4 linked regions of the Rhinolophus ferrumequinum genome follow. The protein of the gene in region 3 purifies or fractionates together with the protein of the main gene of each other region. This does not show direct contact. Links are inferred from orthologs where the notes say so. Each region holds a gene or a part of one and is shown on either strand. Other genes may lie near its edges. The genes, in order: HNRNPUL2, KHDRBS1, HNRNPA1 and DHX36.

Region 1 (7,727 bases), on a different chromosome or scaffold from region 3:
CCCAACCTGTCTGCCTCATACATACACGTGTCCAGGTTCACAAGAGTTTGATCCTCCTCCTCATCTTTTGCCTCTTCTTCGGTGGGTGGTGGAGACTTTGAGCTATACATGAGAGAAAAGCAAATACAATGTAACCAAAGCCCTCTTCTTTGAGGAGTGTCTGCATGACATCACGTCCATTTTTAACTATCAGTGAATATAAAATTCCAGCAGACAGCTTCTTTCAGCAAATGAGAAAAGGGCAACAGGAGCTTCCAGGGTAGATTCAATCTAAAACTTATGCCTATAAAACCCTATTCCATTTTTAATCCACCCCTCTTTGCAGACTCCAATCAACACCAGGTATACCAATATCAGAGCAGACACTCCCTTCAATGAAAGGGACTGTTTCCCTCACCGGCTGTGGTAAGCCTCCTCTCGGAATTCATAGTAAGCTCGGCCATGTTCATCCTTCTCATCCCGCTGTCTCTTTACCCCCCGCCGCTCACCATCTGAGCCTGCTGGTTTTGACTTTTCACTATCTTGGTCATCTCCTACAAAAAGGAGGGAAAGAAAATCAGCAGTTTTTCATACTAGAGTGAAGAATAAGCTCAGAACCAACAGAAACTTAAGGGGATCTGAGTATCTGTCTAATCAGAGTAGCCAAGTTACTCCCACTGCATCCACAGAGTGGTTTATTTTCAAAGATCACCTTCCTGTCATTACCTGGGATTTTTATTAAAAAATAATAAAAAAAGACACTATGGGCTAGTTACAGGCAAGCAGTAGATAAAAATTGGACAATTTTTGCATTCTAAATTTATCTGCTTAAATCAGGTCAAACTTGCAGATTTCCCCACCAATATGACATGAAAAATATATCCCCTAAGTCTTGATTTTTTAAAACTTCACAGGTTAATTTAAATTCTTGATTGTCAGATGAGAATTTAAGCTAGACAGAAAACGTATTTTCCAACACTTCCACAGCTTCATGATACAGAAGCCTCACTTTGTGAATTTCTTTTAAAGAGTTTGCCTTTCCAGCTTTAAAATGCACAGCCATCACGGCTTTACTTATCTAGCAAGTGGATTCAGGTGCATGATACAGAGCTGTATTTTTACTGAAAGTTACAAGAGCAAACCACTAAGTCACAAGAAACCCATAAATAATACTGTAGCTTTACTGCACATAATTTGGGGCAGAAAGGTGTTGTCATATATTTAGCAACATTCTTTACAAGAGAAAAACAAAAGAATTTTTCCTTAGGCTTTTGCAGTTTCCAATACTAAGAAAGTTTTTAATAATAATTTAAAGCAGTCCTTTATCCCTCAACCTTTATTATCTGTTATTTGGGATACACGTTAAGTCAAAGGTTATGTAATGGGATTTTTGTTCCAGGACATAGGACAATCTTCAACTTGCATGTGACTATTGTAGAATGGGTTCCAATTATACTATACTAAGTAGCAGCCTAAAAAATGTATTCTAAAACGAACTAAGGCAACCGACTTCATACATACTAAGACTTGGAAGACACTCTAGTTTTCCAACCCACTCTGACAGATAGTATGGATCACCTCTAACCATCCAATCACTTCAAAGGAAGAGAGAAAGGTCACTAACTCCCCGCGGTGACGCTACACATTCTCTTCCACAAGGTTACTCAATGGGCCCACCAAAACCTCAATCATTTCAATTAAGTTAGTTAGGGACCAGAAATGTAAACGGCTACTTAAGTGTACAGCAAATTTACAAACATGCCCGTCCATCAACTCAGTGGGAAGATTATATTTTAATCCTAAAAATACAAAGTAAACCCCCTAGCCAAGTTCAATGACTTGTTTTAAATGTGCTAGATTAAGGCTTTCTCTTCACTAGTTAACTATTAAACTCGACACCCTCACACCACAGGCTGTCCCCTGCTGCTAAAGCAGGAACAAGGTTAGATTGGCCAGATTCTCTGTGTGGCTCAAACTCTAGCAATGTGCTTCTGATGGAGCGAACTTTGACGAATTGTTTATTGCTTAATATTTTTACGGCGAAAAAGTCAACAGTCAGGTAGCCTCCAACAGTCGGTCTGGCTGTCCGTGGAATCGCCAATTCGTTAACGCATTCTCATTCTCGATTTGGGAAAAAATAACCAGCACCGCGGGAGGCTGCTCCACAGGTAGCTCAAAGGCAGTTCGCATGCAAAACGGCTCACTTCCATCCACTACCACCAACGAACCGAGTTAAGCAAGAACCTCCCTCCTGCAGAGAGTGAGGCCACCAGAGGCGGCCAAACCTCCTAGAAAGGGGATAGAGAATGGAAGTCCCGTCCCCTGGGGTGTCCCATCAAATGCCGATGGGAATCAGGCACTTTCAGGCAAGTGATCAGAAGGGATCGGCCCCTGGGGTGCAGGGCTGGGTGCTGGGACAGGGGCGCACCCGGCATGCTGGAGTCGGGCTCCGCTGCCAGCTCCTCACCCTGTTCCTCTGCGGCCTTGTCACCCGGCGCCTCGGATCCCGGCGTCTCGTCCCCGCTCCGCTCCTCCGGCTCCTCTTCCTCCCCCTTGCCGGTGCCCTGCTCTTCGCCACCATTTACCCCACCTGACTCGGCCGTGGCCTCCTCCGCCGGCTTCTCGGAAGCATCCGGCTCGCCCGCGGCCTCCATAGCTGCCGCCTCCGGGGGCTCTGGCGGCGGCTGCGCGGCCTGGCCCGAGGCCTGGGCAGGGGGTGGCTCTTCGTCCTCGTCCTCAAGCAGCGCCTCCTCGTCCTCCTCCTCCTCTTCGTCGTCCTCCTCGTCCGCACCCGGGCCGCCGCCCGACGCGGCCACAGGCCGAGGCTCCGCCTTGCAGGCCCCGCCGGGCCCGGCCCCGCCACCGCCGGCCTCGTCCTCGAGCATCTCGGCGTCCAGCGCCTCCTGCAGCCGCTGCGCCAGATCCACCTTGAGGCCGCGTGAGTCCAGGCCCCGCCGCTGCAGCTCCGACCGCAGCTCGGTCACTTTCAGCCGCTTCACCTCCATCGCAGCCGCCGCCTCCTCCGCCTCCCGCCGCCTCCTCCCCTGCGAACCGTCGACCGAGCCCAACCGCGCAGGCGCCGCCGCCGCCCGCCTCCGCTTCACGCGCCAGCACTGAGCCCGCGCGAGCGAGCGCACGCACGGACGCACGCAAGCAACAAGGACTGCGCGCAGCCTCCGCTACGTCGTGTTTGGTTCTCCCTCCAGCTCCTTTTCCCTTTTAGGCCCGAGGACCCCAAAACCACGCACTAGGGTAATATTTCCCCTCTTGCTCCCTCGGTCCCCTTGCCGCTGGCGGGCGCGCGCCGAGGACGACGGACTTCCCTCCCTTTAACCTCCCACCCCTTCTTACCCTCTGGGCCAATCGCCGCCGGTAGTTTCACCGCGCAGCCGCGCCGGAGCCGGAGACGGGGAAGGCTGGCTGCGGCTCAAGTGCCTCGTAGCACGGAGGCGTGTGCGCACCCGTTTTTTCGTACTTCCAGTCGGGGACTGCGCAGCCGCCCGGAGCTCCCTTCCCACACGCCCCTTCAGTCCAGTTACCACCCTCACTCCCGTCTGACCGGATCGCGCTGTCGTCTTGGGGTTTGCTCACTAGTCCCTTTCCTCTACTGTCTCTACGTACAGCAGCTTGTTGAGAGTCAGAAAAAAATAAGAGCCAGGAAGGAAGCTGTTGCAACGTGAAAGCCTACTAGTAATTGTCTTTCTGCTTGGTAAGCCAAAGGGCTCTCCAAAACCAAGGAATACCGTAACCACTTGGCCCCCATCCCTTAACTTCTACCCAGCAACAGACGCCCTGACCTCGCCGTTTAGCTCTCTTATTGGCCAACTTGAATCGTCATCTGCAATTCTGATTGGTCATCCATGATCGTCCGTTTCCAATTGGCGAAGCTGCCAGGGGATTTTTTTTAATTTTTTTTCTGTGTTGGTCCGCAGGGGAGGCTGCAGAGGCGAGGTCGTTTTGCGGGATTACTTTTCTGGGGTCGTTTCTGATTGGATGCCGTGGCGCAATGCGCGCGACCCTTGAAACAACAAACTGTCAGGAGACCGGATCCTGTCATTTGGATGCTCCGGCCGGTAAACCGAAGCCCAGGGGAAGATTTCCGGGCTTGGGCATTTGCAAGAGGGGCTGGCCGCGGGGCTTGGAGGACTTGCAGCTGAGCTGCTCTGCGGTTGGGTCAGTCTCGGCCTGTGGGTTGTGGTGCACGGGTCACATTCACCTCGGCTCCCCAGCTCCTGGTACAGACGTCAACTATTGCTGGTTGAATATGTGCGAATAAAGAACTCGGATGGAGTCAAGCCTTTTAGACTATTGTTAGCCGTTGTCCCCGCCTACTTCCTTTCACTTCCAGGTCAGGGAGGTGTGTCTAAAAGTAAGGAGGAAGTAAATTCGCCGGCGTTCGCATGCCTCCCCCAATTCCTTAGTGCGGCCTTTGCTTTTTCAGGGTCTCTTCACCCCGAATCATCTCTTTGGAAAATCACTTAATCTCTGGCTTTACTATTGCCACATCCTCTCCCTGATTATTTTCCTGCACTTCTAGAGATTGAAAAATACTGCAGAGGAGCGGGAGGAGCTGTAGTGAAAAGCAAAACTCCTTCCCTGGAGGGCCTCCTGGAGAAGGGTAATTTCCTCCCTACTTAAATCGGCTATCAAAATCAGTAATTTTGCTTCCATCTCCAGAGCTTCAGTTGTTTTTCCCCAATTCCTCAAGAGAACTGAGCGACAGAGTTATGGAGAAGCGCCTGCACGAGGCTCAGCTGTACAAGGAGAAAGGGAACCAGTGTTACCGGGAAGGGAAGTACCGAGATGCCGTGAGTAGGTACCATCGAGCTCTGCTTCAGCTGCGGGGTCTGGATCCAAGTCTGCCCTCCCCGATACCTAATCTAGGACCTCAGGGCCCAGCTCTCACACCTGAACAAGAAAACATACTGCACACCATCCAGACAGACTGCTACAACAATCTAGCTGGTAAGAACAGGCCTGAAGGGTGGGTAGAGTATACAGGCAGGCACATGAAAATCTGACCATTGGGAAAAAACACTGACGTGCTTTTCTGCTGTCATCTAATTCTGCTATGAATTGAAATAATTTCCAATCTATATGGCACTAATTGAGTTTCTGTCGGGCGGCAGTCTCACATTTCATCTGGAGAGTTTGTTAAACACACCTCCTGAGCTCCACCCCCAGAGATTCTGATTTAATGGGCCTGAGGTAGTGCCCACGATCTGAGGGACTCCCAGGTGATGCTGATACGTTTAGGGAATTGTGCGCGCTATAGAGAAAGTACTGAACTTACCCTCATGATGTTGTTTCTTTAGTATTTAAAAAACAGGAAAGAAGGCACATGCTTCAGCTGATGTAAGTCATCCATATTAGATGTTTTTGATAGCTTTTCCTCATTTTCCTCCTTATAAATCAGCTAGATGGTATCTTGGATAAGTATCTTCAATCTCCAGATGGCCTTAATGGATGTTAAGACTATCTCTAGGATTAATCTGCCAGGAGAAAGATTAATTCTTAGGTCTGTTCTATGGCAGCAAAAATAACCATAGAGCTAATTATTTTGAAGTATATTAAAACGTTCTAATGGGCCAAGTTGAAGCCCTAGAAATTATTAGGAGTGGTTTTTACACTTTGTAATGGTTGTTTAAAAGTGATTTTTTTTTTTTTACTATAATACTCATCAGCTGTGGTGTGGCAAAAATCTAGCTTCTCTCCCCGTTCTTTTGCCCCCGCCTCCCACTCCAGTTCAAGGCGTTGTTTCTAAGTACAGTTATGTAGGACACAGCTCCCTGGCCTATGCTGGTATTATGAGCCTTCTACTCCTCCGCTGAGGCAGTAGGTCGCTGGTCCTGCCATTCACGCTGACAGCCGGCCACTCACGATGGCCACTGGCCGCGTGGCAGCACACAGCAGCCCACCGCAGCTCTTGCCAACCTCTGGCTGCTCAGGGCAGCCCAGCTCCAGGGAGAGCTGTTGTTCACAATCTCAGCTGTAGAGGGCGCAGCTCACTGGCCCATGTGGGAATTGAACCCCTGACCTCGGTGTTAGGAGCACTGCTCTTCAACCACCTGAGCCCCCTAGGCTGGCCCTAAAATCTAGCTTTTTTACAGTGTGTGTATAGTACTACTCTTAGACTCAAGTAACAATAATAATTATAATAGTTAAAGTTTTATTTGAACAATTATTTATTAGCTGCTGAGGATCCCCGCTCATGGAACGTGTATTCGAGTAAGGGAGATGGACAATTAACATCAACAAGAATAACATATATAGATGTTAGAAGGTGATAAGTACCTTCTAAAAGAAAGCAAGCAGAAAATGCGGATAGTGACTGCTACCGGCATGGGAGCGTTCACTTTTAAAGAGAGCGGTCAGGGAGGGCTCATTGAGGTGACATCTACAAAATGCCATGGGCAGACACTGTTTAAGCCCTTTACACGTATTAACCTATTTAAGTGTCATAAAAATCATTTGAGGTAAATTTAAGGAAACAGCTAGTAAGCGATAGAACTAAAATTAAACCTGGGCAATTCTTAACTCCAGAATTCTTATTGCAGAATACTGCACACTATTAGAGAATAGGATATGTATTAAAGAACTGACTAGAAGTCAAGGAAATGAGATGCTGTAGAGATGGGTACCTGTCAATGTCTTGACTGCAGGTGGACTGGAAGGCAGAGACCATGGCTCAGCCACCTATCTGTAAAGCCTCTGCTTGTGGGTGGTTGGTAGATGCTCCCTAAAGACTCACTGAATTAAAAGTTTTCACTTACTGCCTGCCAATTAACATGGTGAGAATTTATTTACAATATCTCATTTCTCAAAAATTCTGGAAGGAAGTTAGGGTTATCCCCATTGTACAGAGAAGGAAGCCAGATCGTGTCACTACCTAAAACCTTCTAATGGCATCTCATCACACTTAGGAAAAAATCCCAACTCTGACCGTTATCTGCAGGGCTGGACAGGATCTGGATTCTCCATACACTGACTTTGTAAAGTACATTTCCACCTTCCAGCAGCTCTGTACGATCTCTTCTGTCAGGTTAGAATGCCTTATCCCTTGAATGACCCTTGTCATTCAGATCTTGGCTCAGAAGTCATTTTCTTAGAGAGGCCTTCAGTAACCAAACTGCACTCTGACCTCATTCACTATCCCAGGACAGTTCTGTTTTTCTCAAAGCACTTTTGAAAACTTCATTTATTTGTTTATTGTGTATTCCTACTACTTGGGAACTAGCTCTTTACTCATCAAGATGTTTGTTTTGTTCCTCTTAAACCCCTGCTCCCGCTCTGCCTCGCATGTGCTCATTACTCCATAACTAGTTGTTGAATGGATGAATCTACAGCAATGGATTAAGTGACCACCAATCTGGGGAAACATCTAAATATAAACCATATGACCACTTGGTGGGGATGTTGCAGAAGGAATGCAAACATCAGCCTAGGCCCTTCAATAACTCATCAGCCTTCGTTCTCGGTTCTCAGCACCACGATGTGATAATACTGGGTTTAATTCCCACAATTATGAAATAGGGAACCATTTCCCTTCTTAATTATACAAAGACAGAACATTGGCCTGAACGTTGTCTCCTGAACAGATTTGTATTTTGAGATGCCATTCAGTCATCCAAGGGAATGGTGAAGTAATAGAGAATCATAATAGAGAATGAGGATGATTTTGGAATTAGAGAGTCCTTGGTTCAGATTTCTTACTCATTCCACCTACAAGCTGTGGGATCTTGGACAAC
Region 2 (7,140 bases), on a different chromosome or scaffold from region 3:
TGCTTTTTGCTAATTTTGTTACTTTAGGCAATTTAATCTTTGTATGAATGGTTCCCCCATCTGTAAAAGCGAGAATAAGAGTAACTTCCTCATAAGTTTTGTCGTAAAGACTAAATATTTGATGTAAAGTGCTCAGACCACTGCCTAGCACAGTGTGAGTTAGCTGTATTTTTCTCACACGTCTCCTTATCAGAGCTTAAATACTACTATTCTGTCTTCTCTGGGAGTCGGTTGACTTCACTACAATCTCTCTTCCAGATCATTAAAAAATACCTTAAACGTAGGGCCCAATATATATCAAGATTTATTCATGCTGAGAAATTTCCACAGATCTCAAGTCTGTTCTCTCAATAAGCCAACATTACTTTAATCTCATTTCTCCAATTAAAATTTCATTTTAGTTTAAAAAAAAAGACAAAAAAGCCCAAGGTAAAAAAAATTAAAGAGCATTCTCTTGCAACAGAATTTAAGCAGTGAGAGAGGGTGAAAATTATAAATAACTTTAAAGGATCACTAGTTTTTGATGGTTATCCCAAGAAATCACCTTTTACTTAAAAGATGAATACCATACTGGGTACTTGGTGTGGTCAGAAAGGCAAAAAATATGTTGTATTTTCATACCATATTTAGTACCACAGATTTATCACTTGTGGTGACAAGTTATTATCTAATGATTATAGGTCGAAGGGAACTGTGCTAGTGCTTTTACACATCATTTAATCCTCACAACTCACCACTCCACTTTACAGTTGAGGTCACTGAGGTTCAGGAAGTTTCCCAAGTCAAGGGTCAGAATTTCAAGCCTAAGCCAAGACTTTAAAAGTCCTAAAGTTTGTTATTTTATCTCACAAATTTAACCTGGACTAATTAAAGACTTGAGGAAATAAAAATTAGACTACCAAGTCAACCTTTACTACTCGGACATTCCTAAATCTGCTTTCAAATTCAAGCACCTGGGGTTTGCTACATGTAAGACAATAGAAAAATATAAAGATAAAAAGCATTCCTTGCTCTCAAAAACCTTGCCAGAATACATGAACAGTAATGCTTCAAACAATCCATTACAGAACAGCAAAGCACTGAGTTCATAATGTAAACACTTTATCTAACTGTGCTTATTCTTGACCACTGAGTGCTTTATGCTTTTAAAGACCCCTTAGCAATGTTGGGAGATAGAGAACAAAGGGAGCGAAGTATTCTCATAAGGATCTGCCTGTTACATTAACCTTGTCAAAAAGTCCAGTTAGTCACTCATTCAGTGTTGAAGGCTGTGAATTTGTACTTATTAAAATTTAGGTATCATATAAGAACTACTTATTAAAACAACGTTTCAACTAGAAGTGAGGGCAAAACAGACGGCTTTAGGGAGAAATCAGAGCGACTAGGTGATTGGCTAGTGCAGAGCAGAAAAGGAGCAGCGACACAGAACAAAGACTATACTATTCCTAATCTATTTCACTACTGAAGCAAAAAGAAAAAAAAACACAAAGAAAAAGGCTTTCAGGTACAAGCATCGTGCAACTTCCTCAATTTTTGTCCATTTCGTTGGGGAATGTCATGCAAACCACCCGTTCCTCCCTCTTCCCAGTTTCACTGTCTCTAGGGTTATTTTTCCCCTTCTTGAATGATGGTGAACACAAGTTGTAAAATAAGAGGGTCCGTGCTTATTCTTGACCACTTCCAGCTCTGCAGCAATGATTATTTTAGGTGCAAGTCGGAAATACGATTCGGATAACCTCAAGCGTCGATTCCCACCGGTTGCTCCTACCTCGGAGCAACTTAAGCTCCAGTTACCGCTAAGTCTGACCCGGCCCTAGCAACCGCGGCGCGCTGGACAGGGCACTCCAGCCTCACCCCATCTCACCTCCGCCCGCCCTCCCACGGCCCCCCCTCGCTCAGGCTGTCTTCACCTCCTACACCCTCAGTTGAGGCGCCTACCGCCACCCGCAGACGAAAAAGCTTTCCCTTTCGGGGGCAGGGGGAGATAAAGGTTCATTTCTGGAAGAATCTGAGCACTCGGAGCGTGGGGCAGCTGCAAGAGGTGGGAGGGGGATCACAAAGGGGGCGGGAGCGCAGCACTATCCATCAACATCTTTGCACTCAGAGATCGCCAAGTGCCTTTCGGGCCTCCACTGCAGCCTAGACGTTCTCCCTCGCACCCAGGGCCGGGATGGGAATGTGCAATCCAGACTACCGAAGATGAGAATGAGGAAACGAGAAGGGGAGTTCATGACTGCTTTGGTCCCGAGGGGGCGGGAAGAGAGAAGAACAAAGCCGCTGCCACCCATGCTCCCGGGTGGCCGGGCGACCCAGAAGGACTCGGGAGGCCCGCTTACCTGCCGTCAGCAATTGCATGGCGTGAGTGAAGGACGGGTCGAGCGAGTCCTTCTCGGCCATGAGTTCGGGCAGGTACTTGTTCTCCGGCTCCATTTTAACGGAGGCAGTGGCTGAGGGGGGCAGCAGCGGGGTCGGAGCCGGACCGCCCACTGTCGTGTCGGGACCCGTGGCCGAGGGCGGCAGCAGCGGTGGCGGCTGCGTGGCGGGCGAGGCCCGGGCGGTCCCCCGGGATCCCCCTCCGCCTCCCCGGGACCGATGAGGCAGCGGCGGCTGCCGAGACGGCGCCTGACGTACTGAAGGGTGGGCACCCGAGGGGTCCATGGAGCCGCTGCGGCCCGAGGACCGGCTCATGCGCGCGGCGGGGTCGTCCCGGCGCTGCATTGGGGAGGATGTGCGATCGAAGGATCGAGGAAGCGACGCGGCAGCGGCAGAGGCCCGAGTGGCGGTTGGCGGGGGTAGGAGAGCAGGAGCGACGGCGACCGAAGCCGACCCGAGCGACCCAGCGAAAGAGCACCGGAAATGAGGCGTCGCGCGTGCGCAGCCAGTCTCCGGCACCGCCCTTGGGTCTCTCCGCGAAGAACAAAGTCCCCAATCGGGCCACGGCGCCTGCGCACCGGCGAGGAACCCGAAGATGTCGCCTCCCTGCTCCTCTTTTCCCTCGGAGCCCGCCAGGCCAAAGCCTTGTGCGCTTGCGCGGGTGGCGGCGGGCAGCATTCGTTTTCTCTACCACGTGACTGGGCGCTAGCGGGACACGTGTCTCCTCCCCCTTCGGGCCGAGTGCGCGGTGGGGGCGGGGGCTGTGGAATGTCTTTGTCTGCGCGCGGACCCGCGGAGTGTGGGGCGGGAGACCTGTTACTGGCGGGGCCACGCCCCCTCTAACGGCTCAGCAGTAGAGGGGGGTTGTGCTCAATGAGGTGGGAGGGGTTATTGAAGTAGGGGAATAAAAGGAGACCGGCGGGAGAGACGCGAGGTTGCGGGTGGCGTGGGTTAGAGGAGAAAATTGAGGCTGGCTGGGCCTGGGAAGAGAGGAGGAAGAGACAGGGCAGAGGGGAGGCTGGGGTGAAGAAGGAACGACTAAGGGAGAGTCTGACGCAGGGCTGAAGGGTGCAGATGAGAAAGGAAAGCTTGGAGGGAAAAATTGAGGAAGGACTCGGCAGTGGGAAGACTGAAGGCTGTTGGAGGACTTGAACTAAGATTCTTCCGCAAAAAGTGGGCTAGAGGCCAGGTCCATAATCCATGATGGTTGCATCATTAGGGTGGCTCCTTCTACTGATGTGAGTGGTAAGCCTCCTGCCTCTTTTTGGGCCCTTCACACTGGATTCTTCCAGACCTGTTCAAAGAGATCCTTACCACTGCTCTCAAGGCCAAGGTGTATAGTGGACAGTCTGCCAACGCATTCTCCTCATTCTGGTGCCTTCTTTAACCTTTCCTTCCTTTCACAGATATTTGCTTCTCCCTTTCTAAGCACTCCCATCCCTTTTCCTTCTGGATCAGTTTCCCAGAATAAGCCAACGCTTTTCAGGAGCATTTCTGGAAATTATCTTCTGGGTGCCTGGAAACTTTTGATTTTGGGATCTGAAACTTTGAAGCCTTCAACAAGAGAACATTAAGGCCTGGCAACCTTGTGAGTGGGGGAGAGAAACCACCCACAGAAATGAGAACAAAACACAAATATCTTCACAAATTATCACATATATAGATATATTTCTGGTGTCAGGTGCAGTACTTTGAGGTCACAAACGTAGTTTATATTCAAGTAGGAGGAAAAAAAGAATGTTTTAAATAATTGTAATGAAAAATTGTAATGTGACAAATGCCAAGAGATAAGTGAATATTAAGTACGATTGGAGTTCAAAGCACAAGATAGATTTTGGCCAGAGGAGAATGAGTTCCAGGCAAAGGGAAGCGTGAACAAATGAGCAGAGATGAGAATGTCAGAGACGCATTTAAGGAATGGGAGTAATCGAGTTGTGAACTGTGAAGAAATAGTGGGGGGAGACATCAAATGCATGGAGGAGGGAAAGGGGGCAAGGAGGATTTATAGCTCCCTTGCAACTCATTTCTGCTGCTGTCCTTGAACATTCTGCTTGGGTGATGGTGTTACAAATGGCTGAAGTGTCCTTGTTGTGTAATGAGATGCCCAGATGGAGGAGGTACCTTGAGCTGAGGCTAATAAAACTTTGATAAGGAAGTGTCTGAGAAGGAGCTGGGTAGTGGTATCTGTGGGTTTCTAGACGGAATCAACATTCTTACCAGATGGCTGCCAAATCTTACTTTCTCTGAGGGTGGGGTTGAAGGGAGCTTTGAGCTCTTCTTCAGGGTGAGATGCACAAAAGGTAATTTCTGAAACGATGATTGTGTGCCCACAGTGTACTTATTACCAAGTACGTGGTGCAGCAGCCTTCCATTGTGGGGGGACCGGTGGAGGGAATGGTACAGGAACCCTTCCTTAGGAATTGGGAAGAGTAATTCCTGTCCTGAAAGCCTAGAGGTCTGCAGTTCATTTTCTGTGGACCATGGTATGCTGTCTGAGGTTCTCCTGAAGGTATTAACAATATGGCCTTGAGAAAAGACTGACTTTGGAGTAAGACGGACGATTTCAAATGTAGTGTTGCCTTGTTTTGGCTGTGTGTCATTGAGAAAACCATAACCTGTCTGAGCTGTAGTTTCCTTCTCTATAAAATGGAGGTAATGACATCTACCTTGCAGAATTGTGAACATTAACAAATATCAGTGTAAACCTCCCAATAGTAGGGCTTATAAGCAGAAGTAATAATAATTACTATGTTATTTAGTGCCTAGTGAAGAGTTTTGGGTGCTCATGCTGGCTGTGGATTTGCAAGGCCTGCTCTCTAATCTCTTGTTTTCACAGGCTGTAGCTATACTTTGTTTTGGAGCAGGGAGGTTCCAAAAAGACTAAGTTACTTATACCCTATTTCCTCACATAGTCCAGTTACTATGGCAGAGGGTGCAGGAGCAATTGAGAGCATAGTGATTCAGATGGAGTTAGGGCCAAAGCTGGCTCTTCCTCTTACATGCTGAATGATCGAGCACTTAACTTAATCTTTCTCAGCCTCTCCTTCCTTCTCTTCGGTAAAACGGGTCAGAATAGCCACCTCAGGGCTGTTCGGATTAAAGGAGGGAGCATCTGTAAAGTACTCGGCACAGGGTCTGGCAATTAGTAGGTAATTGATAAGCGATAGAGGCCATTGTTATTACTACACACATTTATCTATCGAGTACCTTATTGCAGACTTTCACTTTCACGTGAGTTCCTAACTGATGGGCTGAAAAGAATGGAGGTTTGCCTGACCTGTGTGATCTCCACAGATGGGGGATCTGCAGGCCCTACCTACCTCCCCAGCTTCACAGCCAGTTCCCAGGAGAAGAAGGGCTCCAGCCCTGGGCAGGAGAGTTTCTCTTCCGAGAATGTAGCTCCTCTGTTCAATCTTAAATACCTACTTGGTGCCAAATATATGGAGGGTGGAGAAGTAGACAGGGAGATCAAGATTCAACATTTTAAAGTGTTTTTCTAAGATTTTTTCGTTATAGAAATACATACTTCTAGCTTTACGAAAAATCCAACCATAATAAAGGCAGAAAGTGACAAGTAAAAGTCCCCCCAAAACCTTGCACATTCACTTGACTGCCCTTCCTTAAAGATACCCACTATTCAGTGGTTGCTTGTGTAGGCTACCAGACACATCTATATGCAAGTGTGTCTTTTTTGTTCTAAACACAAACTGCAGCATTCTATACCAACAGTTTTTGATTTGTTTTTAAATAAAATATTCTGGCTACCTTTCCTTGTCAGTATATAAGTTTATTTCTTTTTTTTCCTCATGGTCGTGTAGTATTTCATTGCGCGCTTTTAACCAGTTCCCGTCTGATATAAATATAGGTTGATTCCAGCTTTTCCGTATTGCAAACCGTACTGCAATGAGCACCACTGCACAGAACATCTCTGTGCATAATATCAATATAGGATAATTCCTAGAAATGACACAAAAAGACTGCGCCAAGCAGCAAGGTAGGCAGCATCTTCTTTTCCCACCTCCTCAATCAATTCTGGGTACTGTCTTCCCATCTTTTTAGTCTTCACCAATATGATAGCTGAAACGGCATGGGATTGAACATTGAATAAGAATCTATGCCCTCAAGGAGTTCATTGTTTAATGAAGGAGACAAATACATAAACCAAGAGTGACCATGTAGTACTGTGAAAAGTTTTATAATCAAGCACTATACAAATTGCTGTGGGAATACACAGGAAGGAGTGACGGACCAACTCCTGATCTGAATTTGGAAAGTAGTTAAGTGGGGTACAGGGGCAGGGCATTTAAATATTGAAAGTTCAGCGGAGCTTTGTCCCCTAATATTCCCTCCTCTAATAGGTTCATGGCTTTGGAATTTAAATCTGTAGCCCAATCTTCCGAGTTCCAAATCCAGATAGCCAAGTGCATCCCTGACCGCTCTATTTGGATGTCTCAGAAGACCCTCAAACTCAGCATGTCCCCAGTAGAACTCAAACTGCAGCCACTAGCAGTGCTGCTTCAGGGCCCAGATGACTTACGTAGCTCGGGGCTTGGGAGAAGCTCCTCTTTTCGGACCCAGGCCTGTTCCAGCACCTTGAGAGCATCAGGGCCAGCAAAACTTAAGGAGGCATTCACTTTCAGGGCCATTCTCCTTGCTTGCTGCACTCTAGTCCCAAGCTGCTCTTAGCATTCCCACCCTTTGGCAGGAGCCATGGGCAGGGACAGAAGGGATTGGAGCAGGGCTGGTGTGCCCAGTGACTTGACCCCA
Region 3 (7,986 bases):
ACTCTCCCCTAGAGCCTCCAGAGGGGGCTCAACACCTTAATTACAGGCTTCTGGCCTCCAGACTTGTGAGAATCAATTCTGTTGTTTGAAGCCACCAAGTTTGTGGTAAATTTGGTATAGTAGTTACAAGAAATTAATACACAGGGAAAGTAAAATTTTAAAATCCATAAACTGGACATATATAAAACAAATTACTGATCCATAAAGAACTGTGCTTCAAGTGACCCAAGGACTGCCTAAAACCTCTAATCCTCATTTCAAAGAGTAAAATGAGGTAAACACAGGATGCAATTTACCCAAAAAATATTAAATGTTGACAGATCTGAGAAGACAAACTCAGAAAGGTTTAATATTTACGTAGCTGCTAAGAACAGTGTACGTTCCCCCAAAACATGCTAGTTGGTAGAGCTCCTGGGCAGACTAAACATAGGCAACAGTTGTCACTGTGGGTGTTCTGCCAAAACAAGTGTAAAGTTGTCATCAGAAATGAATATGTGGCTTCAAGTGGCTTACAGAAATCCAGCAAATCTGCGTCTTGGACTCTGCACAAGCCAACTCTTCTCAGGATGACCTGGACTCCTTCCCACTAGTACAAATGATCAGCTAAAGCCATCCTCTATAAGGAGGGAAGGAAAATCAAATTTATGTCACAAAAAAAAAAAATTGCTGAGTCCAAGTTCATGTGTAAATAGCAGCCATACTGAGTCAGTCACAAGTGATATCTCACACTATAATTTATTACTTTTAAAATCAATATTCACAGCTTTAGGCCCAATTTCATGTCAAGTGAATGGAAATAAAAATAGACCAAGTAAAAGAACAAAAAAGGAAAGAAATGCTTTACCAGGGGTTGTTACATGGGCTATTCTAATAAGATATATAAATCATGCTATGTGGTTAAATAAAATACCTCAATAAAAGCAAAAAACACTAGCCTTCCTCCCAAACCTTTGTACCCTGGATACCTTTTCTAGAACTACTGTCAGGGCTCTAAAACCACCAAAACTTTCCTAGACATATAAAAACCCAGTCACTTCAGAGGATGTTCTTTCTCTTTTGTTCAACCATCACCCTGCTCACCTACCACCCAGATAGAAGCTTTCTACTGATTGGTTTTCAGTGAAGGTGTGTTATTTTCTCTTTCAGGTTTGGCTGCAATAGTATGCCTCTAAGATCTAAGCACAGGTGCTTGAAATTTAATTTTTGTAACTCAGGCTCAACATTTTGTCGTGTTAACAACCAAACCAGGTTCTACAAAGGCAATGAAAAAAGTCTGAAGTTAGACAACGTGATAGTCTCAGAGTTTCAATGAAAAATTACCCACTAAAATTTACCCACCAGAGAAATGTTCATCATGCCTATTATGACATTTTAAGAGAATTCACAGTAAAACAAGCAATTTTTACTTGCACACCACAATAAACCAAGAACTCTATGTTCAAAGCCTGAAATCTTTCAAATGAAAATATATCAGACATCAAATAAGGGTTCACTGATTAATTTGTTTATAAATCCAAGTAGCTGGGGCCAAAGATGGGAGGAATAATCTCACACAGAGAATAATCTAAGGCGGCATAATTTAGTTACCTATTCTTTAGACCAGTTGTTTTTCTTTTTTCACTAAACTGTGGATCTGTACAGAGCTGTGAAATCAGTTCAGCAGAAAATGACCTGTATTTTTAAAAAAAGGAAATAGTGTACTGTAGATGCAAAAATGTCAAGAGTGCTTTGCACATTTATTTGTACAGTGAAACTTGTTTCAATGTGTGTACAGGGTCAATATAAAATATATTTTTTATTAAGGGTCAACATCTAAAAAGGTTTGAGACATTGATCCAAAAGAATCCCAATAAAGGGCGGCCCGGTGGCTCAGGCGGTTAGAGCTCCATGCTCCTAACTCCAAAGGCTGCCAGTTCGATTCCCACATGGGCCAGTGGGCTCTCAACCACAAGGTTGCCAGTTCAATTCCTCCAGTCCCGCAAGGGACGGTGGGCAGCGCCCCCTGCAACTAAGATTGAACACGGCACCTTGAGCTGAGCTGCCGTTGAGCTCCCGAATGACTCGGTTGGAGTGCATCCTCTCAACCACAAGGTTGCCGGTTCGACTCCCACCAGGGATGGTGGACTGCACCCCCTGCAACTAGCAACAGCAACTGGACCTGGAGCTGAGCTGCGCCCTCCACAACTAAGACTGAAAGGAAACAACTTGAAGCTGAAAGGCACACTCCACAACTAAGATTGAAAGGACAACAACTTGACTTGGAAAAAAAAAAAAAGAAAGTCCTGGAAGTACACACTGTTCCCCATAAAGTCCTGTTCCCCTTCTCCAATAAAATCTAAAAAAAAAAGAAAGAAAAAAAAGAATCCCAATAAAGGAAAGAGGCTTAACTCAGGTGAAAATGTAAGAAGCATCTGAGGCAAGTATATCTTTTTAAAAAAACGTATTTGCCATTATTTTAGAAAGCCAAACAGAAGATGCAATCAAACATGTTTAAATAGTAAACACCTTAATGAAATTTTCCTTCTATCCAATGGAACACTATATCTGAAGAGATAATCATTAGGATTTAGTAATCCATTTACTAAAAACCACCTCCTAAACACATCACCACCCATCTTCTCCCTCTAATTTCCAATTGGTAAAAGATTTTGACAAAATAATCAACTCTAGCATGTCAGTTTAGATCAATGGTTTTCAACTGGGGATTATTTTGCCCAAACACCCAACCCCCAGGACATCTGGCAGTGTCAGGAGACATTTTGATTGTCAAAAATGGGGGTGAGAGGTGAGATGCATTTGCAGGAAATGTCAATAGTGCTGAAGTTAAGAAACCCTGTAGATCAAGACTATTCTTTTCAAACCTATATCCTTTTAATTCTTAAAAATTAAGGAGCCGCATTTTGAGCATACCTACAAATACTTTATAAACAACGTGAAATAGGTTTGTCCTTTGGGAAGTGCCAGAGAACATGGAAATCTCTCTGTTCATATCTCAACTAAAATCACCTTTTATAAGTCAGAAATGTTCTCTAACCATAAGGATACTTCATATGCAATTGAACTCACGGCAGTATTCAAAGATTTTTTTCCCTTGACTCTAAATAAATACATCAGTGAGTAAAGCAGTATATATTCTGATACAGCCAAAATGTAATGAAAATTTCTGTATTTTAGTAAAAATCTTGGAATAAGCAGAATGGGCATTACCAACAGGGAATGGACTGCATCTAAAAATAAACACTTTTAAGGAAATATAATCAAAAGGCAATGAACTAACCCAGGTGATGGATGAGCCCTTCTGTCCCCAACACCCTAAATCAACAGACTTTAATTTTAATCACAAATTATTATTATCCCTGCAAAGATTTAAACATTAGAGATCTAATCTGCCTCAATGCCACTGTATTCCTGGGGGTAACACACTTTGGTCTGTAGCTTTCCAAAACTTTTTCTATGGACTTACAAATATCGAGTTGTATGTGGAAATATGTATTATTACGTAGATATTCCTCAGGCACCTTTTCAAGACAGTACAATCTCTATTTGTTCTAACATTTCAAGTCGGTCTTCCTAAAGAAGCTAGTTCTCAAAGTCAAAAGACCTTCTTCCTTGCTCCCCCCAAAACCTATGGTGGATGGTGGGATGTACTGATGTGTGTGTGTTGGAGGGGGCGGGGGGATGCCCAACTCGACGTACACAGGAGCAAACGTATCGTTTCCATACCAGGGAGGCTTATGCGATGGAGGCCTAAAGGCTTCGTTAGAAAAGTCATAGTGGATAAAATATCCATCCCGAAGCGCCATCACAGGCATTGAATCCCTTTCCTCATCAACACAAATCCAGCACCTCCGTCTTTTGGAGCGCTGATTGGACGACCCGGGAGAGCGCTCTCAGTAGGTTGTCCTCCTACTGGCTCCAGATTTGGTCCATCCATTTTACCGCCCAACTCCCGCATTTCCCATTGGAGTCAAACCGCTGCCTCTTAGAGGAGCCCAACCTACCGCGCGCTTCGTGCTCATTGGCTTAGTGAGACGCTGCTCAGAAGGGGAAAACCCGCCTCCCACATTCCGATGGCCCAAGGACCGATCAGTCGGCAGCTAAAGGCAGACCCAATTGGCCTATACACTCGCCAGTCAAACTCTTAGACGGCAAAGCTCCACAGAACTTACAGGGATAAAACATCCCGCCCCTGTTCTTCCATTGGTTGGCCGGACCCACCGCTCCCCCTCCGCTAGCCCCCACCCCGCGGTCCATTCATTTCACACAATAACGGGCCCATTTGGAGTCGGTTCAAGACCTCGTATGGGTAGGCAAGACTGTCCGCCACTTACCCGGGATCGAGACCGATCACTCACGCTAATGTCTTCCCTGTTCTTCTGTGGTGAGGCCGGACCACAAGCCACAGCTGCCGCCGCCTTCTGCGCAACGCCAACCGCCCGCCAAAACGGATCCTTCCCTGCGCCTGCGCGACCAATCCTGGGACCAGACCTTTTTCTCCGCCCATTACGCCTGCGCAAAACGAGGCACAACTCCCGCCACAACGCAGGCGCTGTAGGTTCGCCGCCGTCTCCCGCCCGCCATTTCACGTGTTCCAAGAGTCAAGCGGAACTTCTTATTGCGCCTGCGTAAACTCGCCATTTTACTACACATGCGCTCAGCAGGCGGTTGTTGCAAACAATAAAATTAATATGCTATTTTTTAATACACTGCATTAATCATAAATTGACAACTGAATAGAATGTAATATTCGGGGCGTGGAGAGCCAAAAAGTTATTCAAATACCTTCAGGATGTTCAAATATGAATGATTGGTTGGCTAGCCAATCACACTAGTCAGGAGTAACATTACACGGGAACCAATGGACTCCAAGGGGTGGAGACTACGTAGAACGCCCAAACGGATGACGTTACACAGCAATGCGGCACCACAGTCCAATAGTAGCAGGAAGCTATTTCAAATATCCAGTCAGAGCTACTCAGGGGCGGAGTCTACCAATGCCGTAAGCGAGGAGGCGGGATAAAACAGCGAGGCCGAAGGTAGGCTGGCAGATACGTTCGTTAGATCACTCCTTTCTGTCGGTGGACGCCGCCGAGTAAGCATCGTTAAAGTCACCCCTCCCGCGGTCGTCATGTCTAAGTCAGAGGTAAGATGCTCTGTCCAACTTAATTTTCTTCCTCGCTCCTTTCTGAGTTGGGTTGGATGCGGCCTGGATTGGTTGTTTGCGCCAGCCCATTCGGCAGTTCTTCGGTCACTGCCAGGGCCTACCCCTCCCGAAGTTCAGGTCGCCATTTTGTCCTCGTCGTCGCCATGAGGCCGCCGTTCTGCAACCCTTAGTTATCACGCCGGGTTTGGTCCTCCTGGTAAAACTCTTAGGCACAGTGAACGATTTTTATCTCGTCTCAGTGGGCGAGTTTTTTTTTTTTTAAGCAGCTGTGGTCCCTTATTGGCGATGCACTCCTCCCGCCCAGACCTTTTGTTGGCGCGTGCGTCGGAGGGATTGTAGGGGCGCATGCGCTCGCCGTTTCCCAGCCCCCAACATAGAGCCTCCCCAATGGGGAGAAGCACGTGGCTTGCTGCGACCCTCTGGAACAATAAGTGCTATGTACGTTGCTGTCTCGTTTCTCTTAATTGGAAGATGTTTTGCGATACAGACCGACATAACGCTTTCCCTCCCCCCCCACTCTTAGTCTCCCAAAGAGCCTGAACAGCTGCGGAAGCTCTTCATCGGAGGTTTGAGCTTTGAAACAACCGATGAGAGTCTGAGGAGCCATTTTGAGCAATGGGGAACGCTCACAGACTGTGTGGTAAGACCTGGAAGAGACAAAAGAGCACTGGAACTAGTTGATTTCATTGGCTTATCTTGTTATACTTACTGTCCGAATGCTTTTGAAGATTGCTAACAGGATTATAGTTGGAAGTAACTTGGCAAGGGAAGGTGAGGCTTTAACTGATTAAGATGTAAATAGATTTGTTAGATGGGTAAGATTAAGTTGAAGGGCTTTGTATGAGGGCTAGTATAAAGTTTCCTGCTACCTTATCCAAGGTAGAAATGACAGTAGTTCTTGGAGTCTTAATATGTGTTAAATGAATTAATATCTCAGGTGATGAGAGACCCAAACACCAAACGCTCCAGAGGCTTTGGGTTTGTCACCTATGCCACTGTGGAGGAGGTGGACGCAGCCATGAATGCAAGGCCACACAAGGTGGATGGAAGAGTTGTGGAACCAAAGAGGGCTGTCTCAAGAGAAGTAAGTGTTTTTTCTTTCCGTTAGTCATATAGAAGTGTGCTACTAGGTGGATGTTACGTTCAGGGATGTTGGCAAACTTTAATACTGATTTTGCTGATGTAAGTCACTTAATTGGATTTTTCCTTTAGGATTCTCAAAGACCTGGTGCCCACTTAACTGTGAAAAAGATTTTTGTCGGTGGTATTAAAGAAGACACTGAAGAGCATCACCTAAGAGATTATTTTGAACAGTATGGGAAAATTGAAGTGATAGAAATCATGACTGACCGAGGCAGTGGCAAGAAGAGAGGCTTTGCTTTTGTAACCTTTGATGACCATGACTCTGTAGACAAGATTGTCAGTGAGTATCAGATGACTGGTATTTACCAAGGGGTTTGAAATCCATATCTTTCTCTAAACCCTGAGAATTGTCCCTTTTCATTGTTGAAATTTTTTAGTTCAGAAATACCATACTGTGAATGGCCACAACTGTGAAGTAAGGAAAGCCCTATCTAAACAAGAGATGGCTAGTGCTTCATCCAGTCAAAGAGGTGGGTTTGTTGCTTTTAGTTAAACCTTAAATAAAGGTAACTGAGCAATTACAATCTGTGGTTTAACACTTATCTCTTCTTAAGGTCGAAGTGGTTCTGGAAACTTCGGTGGTGGTCGAGGAGGTGGCTTTGGTGGGAATGACAACTTTGGTCGTGGAGGAAACTTCAGTGGTCGAGGTACATGTGGTTCTGCTTTATTGGGAATTAAGGGTAAGCTTGTGATGTAATTACCTGCCTGACTTGTGCTTTTTACAACCTGCAGCTCTATGTAACTACTGACTGGCATTTCTAAAGTTACAGTTTTATCCAAATGTAGTTCTGGTTTCTGCTAATCAGAAGTTAAAATCTTTGGTGTGGAAATCATTTTAGTAGTACAGGAACTGCTCCCTGAAGTAGACTTGAAAGGCTATAATTATATGTGATGCACGTACTCCGAACCTGCTTTAAAACTCCACTTTCTTCCAGGTGGCTTTGGAGGCAGTCGTGGAGGAGGAGGATATGGTGGCAGTGGGGATGGCTATAATGGATTTGGTAATGATGGTACGTTTGTGTGGTTTTTGTTTCTTTAGGAATACATGGGTGGAAAGTTTGTGGTAACCTATAGTCTATACTAGGTTAGTAGAGACTAAAACTAGTGCATGACAAGCTGAACTCTGACTATAACAGCATGTGACCAGGCTGTTACCCATTATGCTTAAACAGATTTTGATTGTTGAATACTTTTGTCTTATTGAGAAGAATTGTATTCTTGTAGGTGGTTATGGAGGAGGCGGCCCTGGTTACTCTGGAGGAAGCAGAGGCTATGGAAGTGGTGGACAGGGTTATGGAAACCAGGGCAGTGGCTATGGCGGGAGTGGCAGCTATGACAGCTATAACAACGGAGGAGGCGGAGGCGGCTTTGGCGGTGGTAGTGGTAGGTATCCAGTGATCCAGGTACTTGGTGCAGTAGCTAGATTAGCCTTGTAGAATTTGTGCCCGTATGGGGATTTGGTGCTCTTAAAGCATTATGTGGTACGCTGCATGGTATTTTTTAATGGACTTGCTGTGCTACCTCCTCCTGGCTTTAAGCTGGGGCCGCCTCACTCCCAAATAGATGAATAAATGGATAGTGGCATCTTCAGCTGGAATCAGATTAGCTTCTAGCAGCATTTAGTATCTTTGGGACTTTAGGCACTTAGTTGATGTATCCAGCATGTTTGCAGTGCCCCT
Region 4 (7,110 bases), on a different chromosome or scaffold from region 3:
CAATCTGGTTTTTATTTCCACCATTCCACTGAACGGGCTCTCATCAAGGTTACCAATGACACTGTCGCTAAATCCAATAGACTGTTGCTCTACCTGTGTGACATCTGCAGTGTTTGCCACCCTTGATCACTTTCTCTTTTTTACAGACATTTTCCCCCCTTAAACAAAACTCCTGGATTCCAAAACAACACCCATCTCCTTACTTTCTTCTTCTCTGGCTGCTCCTTCCGAGATCCTTTCACGAGCCTCTCTCCCTCAGCCTGCCCATTACATTCTCCTGTGCTGCACTGGCCAGCCCGAGGATCTGCAGAGCAGCAGCACTGACACCACTGGGACTCTGGTAGAAAAGTACCATCTCTGACCCCAGCCCACTTCTACCTTCTAACAAGACACCAACTGGTTCCTATGCACATTCAAGTTGGAGAAGCAAAGGTACACAGAATTCAGGCCTGCACTGTCCAAGGACTAGCCATAGGGCCACAAACTGCCAGATGTTCACCTGCAGACTAGACTTCGCAAGGCATCAGATCCAGACGTGGCTTTCTACCTCCCTCAAATCATCTTTTGCACGTCCTACAACAATGTCAAACTCAGTCCTTAGCTGAGTCCATCCTCTTCCTCCATCACCTCTGCTCCTTATAAAGTCATAAGTGTCATTTCCCCTTCCCTCCAAAGAAAATCATTCTGAGTCTAGCTCTTAAGTCACTTTAATCTGTCCACCTCCCTCCTTCTCCACTGCCAATGTCTTAATTCAAGCCCTCATTTCTCACTTTAATTACTGGAAGGGCTACTTAACTAGTCTCCCTGTCCCAGGATTGTCTCTTCTCAATCCATTCTCTATACTACCAGAGAATGGATTTAAACACAATCCCTTTTTTTTCCCCTTAAAATGCTTTAATGGCTTGCTGGAGTTCTTAGGGAAAACTCAATCAATTTCAAAGCCCTTGTATTTCTAGCCCAGGGCTTTTCATATTGCCAGTTGTAAAATCAAAGGATCATGACCAGTATTAATAAAAAAGAGCAGAAAGGTACAAAATAACAACAAAACCCAGAACAATGTACAGGTAATTAAGTATTACTTTATGAAACTTTTTTTTCAGTTATAAATACCTGTGCACTGGGTTGCAATTTAAACTATATTCCTTTTTGTGGAAAGCATCAACAAGTTTGAAAGCCACTGCTTTCAAGATAAGCACATAGAGGGAAACCTGTTATGTTGAAGCTAGATTACCAAGATTCCTGGACAACAGGTTAGGATGTCCTGAAATGTATTATCAGATTGAGACAGAAGTGACCTGGCCTCTAATCTCAAATTGTGATAAATAAATGGTAGTGACATTTACTAAAATGGAGCAAGTTTGGGGAGGAGTTGGAAAGCAAGTTTCATTCACAATGATCCATCGCACAACTGATTTCAGATGGAAATAATATGAACAATTATTCCTCATTCATTTAACTTTTCATCTGTTTAGGTCTTTTATTTCCCAACTAGATTGTAAGCCCCTTGAACATCATAATTCTTCAGATCCCCACAGCAACGTGCATAAAACCTTGTGTGAAATGGGCAAATAAAATTTGATGGAGTCTTAGAAAGTTACTGTGTACATCCTTTTATAGTAATCACTCAATTATCTTCTAATTTCAAAATGACTTAGATGTGCTCCCCTTAATTAAAAAATAAAGTTTGCTTAATGAACAAGTTAATTTTGGTTGCCAAAGAAGCCTGCTGGTTTTTCTTGAAGAGAATATCTTAAGTTGTGAAGATGAATGGGTAACGCTCAAAAACATTTCAATAAAAACGACATGAATTAAAGAAAAATAAAAAATTATTTAAAAACAAAAGCCTAAATGGTGATTTAATTACACTCTGTACCAAATATAAAGGGTGCTTTTAAAGAAGTCACTAAAAAGCTGTTCTAAGACTTATGTAAAGAAAGCTTCTGTTTAATTATGTATCTATTAGAATAGGCCACTCAGGAAACTTCAATCTTTACTACAAATCTTCAAGCTAGGAACCAATCACCATCCTGAAAAGACAGTCCTGAGCCAAACCATCTCCTGAAACTTCCACTTTCTTCTAGGATCCTAAGTTTCCTTCTCAAAGAGGAGCTGCTAAGAAGCTGAAACCTCCCCAACTCAACACGAAAACAAAAGGCCTGGGTTTGTGGCTGTTTTAATACTAAAAATGAAAGCTGGACTATTCTTCGTTTGAACGATGTGCATTCAAAACAGTGCTCGGGCAGCTTTTGTTCCCTGCAAACCTTTATCTATTGTAGGGGGGTCGCTATTTTGGAGTTCCTCACGCAAAAATCTTAAACAAAAGTGACCATAATTATTCTAAGGGAAAGGGCCGCCAGAGGTACTATGACAGCGACACGCGAATAATGTTAATTTCGGTCGGAACCTGAAATTAACATTTCTTTTGTCCCCAGTTCTCACGTCCTTTACGCAAAGTATCCATTCAGCCCACAGAAAGTTGTCTGCTTCGCATGGCTAAGGGTAAGCCATACGACATTCGCTACAGAAAGCTTCAGTATACCGTTGCACTTCATACTGCGCTTCACAAATCACATATACCAGTTAAGAAACCAAGTTAAAAAAACAAAAAAAAAAAAGAAAAAGTTAGGGGCGCGGTGAGACGGAAAGGAAAACCTGTCCTGCCTCATGCACTATCGCATCTCAGATTACCTCCTGCCTCTCCGCTTCCTTGTTCTTCTGTCCCTGTTTCTTCGCGTACCACAAGCCGATTTCGCGGCCTTTCAGGTGCCCGGGATGTCGGCCTCTGCCGCCTCGACCACCACCTCCTCCGCCGCCGCCGCCGCTGCCGCCGGAGCCCCGATTCCCTCCATGGCCCCTCCCATGGCTTCCTCCATAGCCCACGCCGGAGCTGCGGGGCCCACCATCGCGGCCCCAGTTCTGATGGTAGTCATCGCTCATTGTCCCCGAGGACCACAGCGCGTGAGGTCTCGCAACCGCGGCAAATGGCGACCGGGCCCGGAAGCGGGTGCACGTCCACTCTCACTTTGCTTCCGGCGCCCAGCGCGAGAAGGAGGGCCCTGGAGCGTCACAAGCACCCATTTCCGGTGACGTCACGGGTAGACAGCCGTGGACGTCGAGAGGGTGTTGAGGTGCAGTCCTGTTGGATGTTCCCTCAGTCGTTTTCCGACGTGCATCTGGAGGGAGAGCAAGCTAAAGGCTCGTCGGTTTACTTTTCTCACTCTCAACATGTGAGGAAGCGGGTTTTATTTTGTTACCTTGTGGTAAACTCTGGAGTTTGCGTCCAAGTAGGCCCAGGATACTAAGCATAGGTTGACATAAAACCGTGGGAGGATGCATTCTCTTCTAAAAACCCTCTGAAGAACTGAAATGAGTTCATCATATCTTTTTTCTTTTCCTAGTCCTATATCTTGGAAAAAGCCTGGCACCTGTTTCAAATACCAATTGTCCCTGCCTCTTTTAAAAGGTTATTATTTACTACCTTTATCCAATAGCATAAGATGAGCATGTCCAACCAAAATTCAGTGCAGAGCAATTAGGCAATTTAAATAAAACATCAGTTGAAGATTCCTATTTTTGTATGAAGCCATCTATTGTTGATTGACCAGGCTACTGAGTGTCTAGCACAAGCTGTTCTTGAATAATCAAGTCTCTGGGCCACACAGGCTTGGATAGTCACTGGGGGATAACCAGTTTATTTCCACATTTAACTGATTTAAAGGTGTTGGGGATGCTCACTGAATAAGATAAGTACGACATCAGCTTTCATTTGCTTACAGTGTAGAGTAGAAGATAAAGACTAAAGAAATCAGTGTGCAGTGAGTTAAAACAGGAAAATGCTGTATGCTGTAAAAAAGACTGGCATTAAATATATATATATATATATATATATACACACACACATATGGTCAGACAGTTAAGTTGGTGAACTCATCCTAGAAAAAGTGCTACATACCTTATTGCTGAATATCACTACGATCACCTTTGAAGTACTCCTGGAAAGCTATGCACCCACGCCAGAACCTAGTCCACCTTTCAAAGCAATTTTGGAACTCTTTATCTGGAATGGCCATCAGAGTTGTTGTCGTATTACCTTTGATGTCCTGATGTCATCAAAATATCTTCCTTTCAATATTTTCTTTCTCTTTGGGTGAAGGAAGAAGTCACTGGGGGCCAGATCACGTGAGTAGGGAGGGTGTTCCAATACAGTTATTTGTTTACTGGCTAAAAACTCCCTCACAGACAGTGCCGTGTGAGCTGATGCATTGTCGTGATGCAAGAGCCATGAATTGTTGACAAAAAGTTCAGGTCGTCTAACTTTTTCATGCAGCCTTTTCAGCACTTCCAAATAGTCAACTTGGTTAACTGTTTATCTAGTTGGTACAAATTCATAATGAATAATCCCTCTGATATCAAAAAAGATTAGCAACATCATTGCAACAGGTTCATGAACCTAATTGTCGGAACTCATATATATATTTTGAGAGAAGCATTTGATTTCCTGAAATCACATATCTGCCTAAAAGCAGAGCCTCCCCAAAGAACTCAATGTCATATATCCCTTCCCTGTGGGAATAACCAGAGAAGATTGACTTTTACCACTGGAGACTAGAAGTCAGCACCACACCTAAACAGACATTGTCACAAAACTAGATCATATCTCCCATTTATTCTCACCAGAGCCCAATTATCTTTCCTAAATATCTTTTTTTTTTCCATAAATGCCTTTTCCCTCTTTTCCTCCCTCTGTTAAAATGGCACATCAGCCCCAAGTTCTAACTGCCTTCTTGAGTCACATTTTTCTGTGAACTTTCTTAGGTGTGTGACTAAATCTGTCTTTTCTCTTGGTTATCTGTCTTTTGTCAGTTTAATTTGCAGGCTCCCAAAAGCTAAACCTAGGAGGTAGAGGAAAAGTTTTTTCTTCCCCAACAACCATGAGATGTTGCAGCAAAAAGAATCTAGTTTTGAAGTCAGATGAGTCCTTTCTAAAGAAAGAGAAGTTAAGTAGTGACTTTTGAGCTACGTAGACTTTAACCAGACTGATGGGAAGGGGTGAGATTATTACAGGTGGAGGGGAAAATGTGTGAGAAGAGATGATGAAACATTGAAGAGTGAGAAAACTACACTGAAACTTAAAGACTGATGGAAAAGGCCAAAGAGGTAGGAAGTAGCCTGATCATGGAGGACCTTATATGACACATAAAGAACAAGAGTTCACTTTAAGTGGTGGAGTGATTACTTTGGCTGCTTTGCATAGAAAAGAATAGAGGAGACAAGAGTAGGTGTAGGGGAGGCAATGTGGGGTGACAAAGCAAGATGGGACATGGGAAGGACTGGAATTAAGAGATATTAGGAGATTAAATTATTAAGACTTGGTGATTCATTGAATGTGGAGAATGAGAGGAAAGATGACTTTCAAATTTAAGATTTGAAAGACTATCAAATGAAGAGATACCATATCCTGAGATGAGGAACATAGCATGAGGAGAATTTTTTTTGGTTGGGTGGGGGGACGGTTGAGTTAATGTGTTTAATTAATGCATGTAGAGTTTGAGAAACCTATGAAACATACAAATTGAGATATCCAGAAAGCAGTTGGTTATGTGAGTTAAAAGAGCAGAGAGAGCAGACAGAGGTTATACATTTTGGGAGTTCTTGGCAATTATTAAGACCATAGGATTGAATAGTTCCAATTGAAGTATCTATTGGGCACACAAGATGCAACAAGTTGTCAATTGTTCAATAGGTAAGATTACGTAGGCATGTTGGAGATAGTGTGGACTGTTAGGTGAGAAAGTGTTATGGACTGAATGTGTCCCCTCAAAATTTATGTGTTGAAGTCCTAATGCCCAGTGTGACTGTATTTGGAGAGGTGGCCTTTAAGGAAGTAATTAAATTAAATCATAAAGGTGGGACCCCGATCCATTAGGATTAGTGTCCTTGTAAGAAAAGTGACCAAAGAGCTTGCTCTCTCTTTCCTCAGGAGAAAGGTCCCAGGAGCACAAAGAGGCTGTCTCCAAGGCTGGAAGAGAGCTCTCCCAGGAACCGAAGCAGCTGGCACCTTGATCTCAGATCTCCCAGCCTCCAAAACTATGAGAAATAATTGTCTGCTGTTTATGTCACTGAGGCTAAACCTGTGGTATTTTGTTATGGCGGATTGAGCACACTAATGCAGAAAGTAAGTGGAGGAGAGAATTAGGCTTATTTGTTGCTCAGCGTTTGCAACAAACGCTAGGTGATTCACATTAGTGATCAGAATAATGACCCCCAGAGATGGCCACATCCTAATTCCTAGAACCTGTGAATGTGTTACAGTGCATGGCCAAGGCAAATTAAGGTTCCTAATCAGCTGACCTTAAAACGGGGCTGTTACCCTGGATTATCTGAATGAGCTTTATGTAATTATAAGCGTCCTTCAAAGTGGAAGAGGGAGGCAGAAGAGAAGTTCATAGTGATGAGATATGAGAACTCAACCAACTGTTGCTGGTTTTGAAGATGAAGGAAGGGGGCTATAAACCGAGGAATGCAGATAGCCTCTAGAACTGAAAAAGGAGATGGATTCTCCCCTAGAGCCTCCAGAAAGAAATACCTTGCCAACGCCAGTGAGAACCCTTGTCAAAATGTCTACGCTACATAGATGGAAGGTAGGAAATCTGTGTTATGTCTCTGAGTTTGTGGTAATTTATTGTGGCAGCAATAGAAAAGTAATAACACTTCGTATTTCATACAATCCTCATGAAAACCGTGGACATAGAGGTAGTTTTATTTCTATTTTCTGATAAATTATATTATTTCTCTTCATCTCATGTTTGTTGATCCTAAGCAGAATCTTGGTTATAAATTTAAAATTACTATTTTTTTCTGATGTCTTCAGCATGAAGTAGTGTGATATTGATTGAGACTATTGCTTTAGGCAGACACTTAGAGTAAATGTCATTGTAGTAAAAATCTGCACAAAAGGGAGATTTTCAAGGAAAGACCAGAAAGATATTGGTCAGAAGAAAAGTATCATTTGTTACTTGGGTTTTTTTTTTTGTTTCTTTCTTTGGGGTTTTTGTTGTTGTCGTCGTTGTTTTTCCTGCCTTGGTTGGGACCACAACAATTTTTAGGTTG

Evidence for each region.
Region 1: the proteins of HNRNPA1 (region 3) and HNRNPUL2 purify together in Homo sapiens (affinity purification with mass spectrometry; 3 studies listed by BioGRID and IntAct, with this or other methods). This does not show direct contact. The link is inferred for Rhinolophus ferrumequinum from reciprocal best matches to the Homo sapiens genes HNRNPA1 and HNRNPUL2.
Region 2: the proteins of HNRNPA1 (region 3) and KHDRBS1 purify together in Homo sapiens (co-immunoprecipitation; 4 studies listed by BioGRID and IntAct, with this or other methods). This does not show direct contact. The link is inferred for Rhinolophus ferrumequinum from reciprocal best matches to the Homo sapiens genes HNRNPA1 and KHDRBS1.
Region 4: the proteins of HNRNPA1 (region 3) and DHX36 purify together in Homo sapiens (affinity purification with mass spectrometry; 3 studies listed by BioGRID and IntAct, with this or other methods). This does not show direct contact. The link is inferred for Rhinolophus ferrumequinum from reciprocal best matches to the Homo sapiens genes HNRNPA1 and DHX36.

Annotation. Positions count from the first base shown.
Region 1 is NC_046294.1:8,086,661-8,094,387, reverse strand, and holds the start of HNRNPUL2 (heterogeneous nuclear ribonucleoprotein U-like protein 2), read right to left. Parts: upstream 3,019-7,727; 5' UTR 2,985-3,018; coding exon 2,447-2,984; intron 534-2,446; coding exon 398-533; intron 103-397; coding exon 26-102; intron 1-25. Other genes in the region: TTC9C (tetratricopeptide repeat protein 9C), read left to right, coding at 3,986-4,052, 4,657-4,944.
Region 2 is NC_046292.1:21,975,700-21,982,839, reverse strand, and holds the start of KHDRBS1 (KH domain-containing, RNA-binding, signal transduction-associated protein 1), read right to left. Parts: upstream 3,010-7,140; 5' UTR 2,719-3,009; coding exon 2,337-2,718; intron 1-2,336. UniProt on the Homo sapiens protein: Recruited and tyrosine phosphorylated by several receptor systems, for example the T-cell, leptin and insulin receptors. Once phosphorylated, functions as an adapter protein in signal transduction cascades by binding to SH2 and SH3 domain-containing proteins.
Region 3 is NC_046293.1:54,024,372-54,032,357, forward strand, and holds the start of HNRNPA1 (heterogeneous nuclear ribonucleoprotein A1), read left to right. Parts: upstream 1-4,985; 5' UTR 4,986-5,128; coding exon 5,129-5,143; intron 5,144-5,687; coding exon 5,688-5,804; intron 5,805-6,101; coding exon 6,102-6,248; intron 6,249-6,376; coding exon 6,377-6,587; intron 6,588-6,684; coding exon 6,685-6,777; intron 6,778-6,861; coding exon 6,862-6,954; intron 6,955-7,242; coding exon 7,243-7,317; intron 7,318-7,531; coding exon 7,532-7,690; intron 7,691-7,986. UniProt on the Homo sapiens protein: Involved in the packaging of pre-mRNA into hnRNP particles, transport of poly(A) mRNA from the nucleus to the cytoplasm and modulation of splice site selection.
Region 4 is NC_046285.1:84,132,454-84,139,563, reverse strand, and holds the start of DHX36 (ATP-dependent DNA/RNA helicase DHX36), read right to left. Parts: upstream 3,012-7,110; 5' UTR 2,938-3,011; coding exon 2,689-2,937; intron 1-2,688.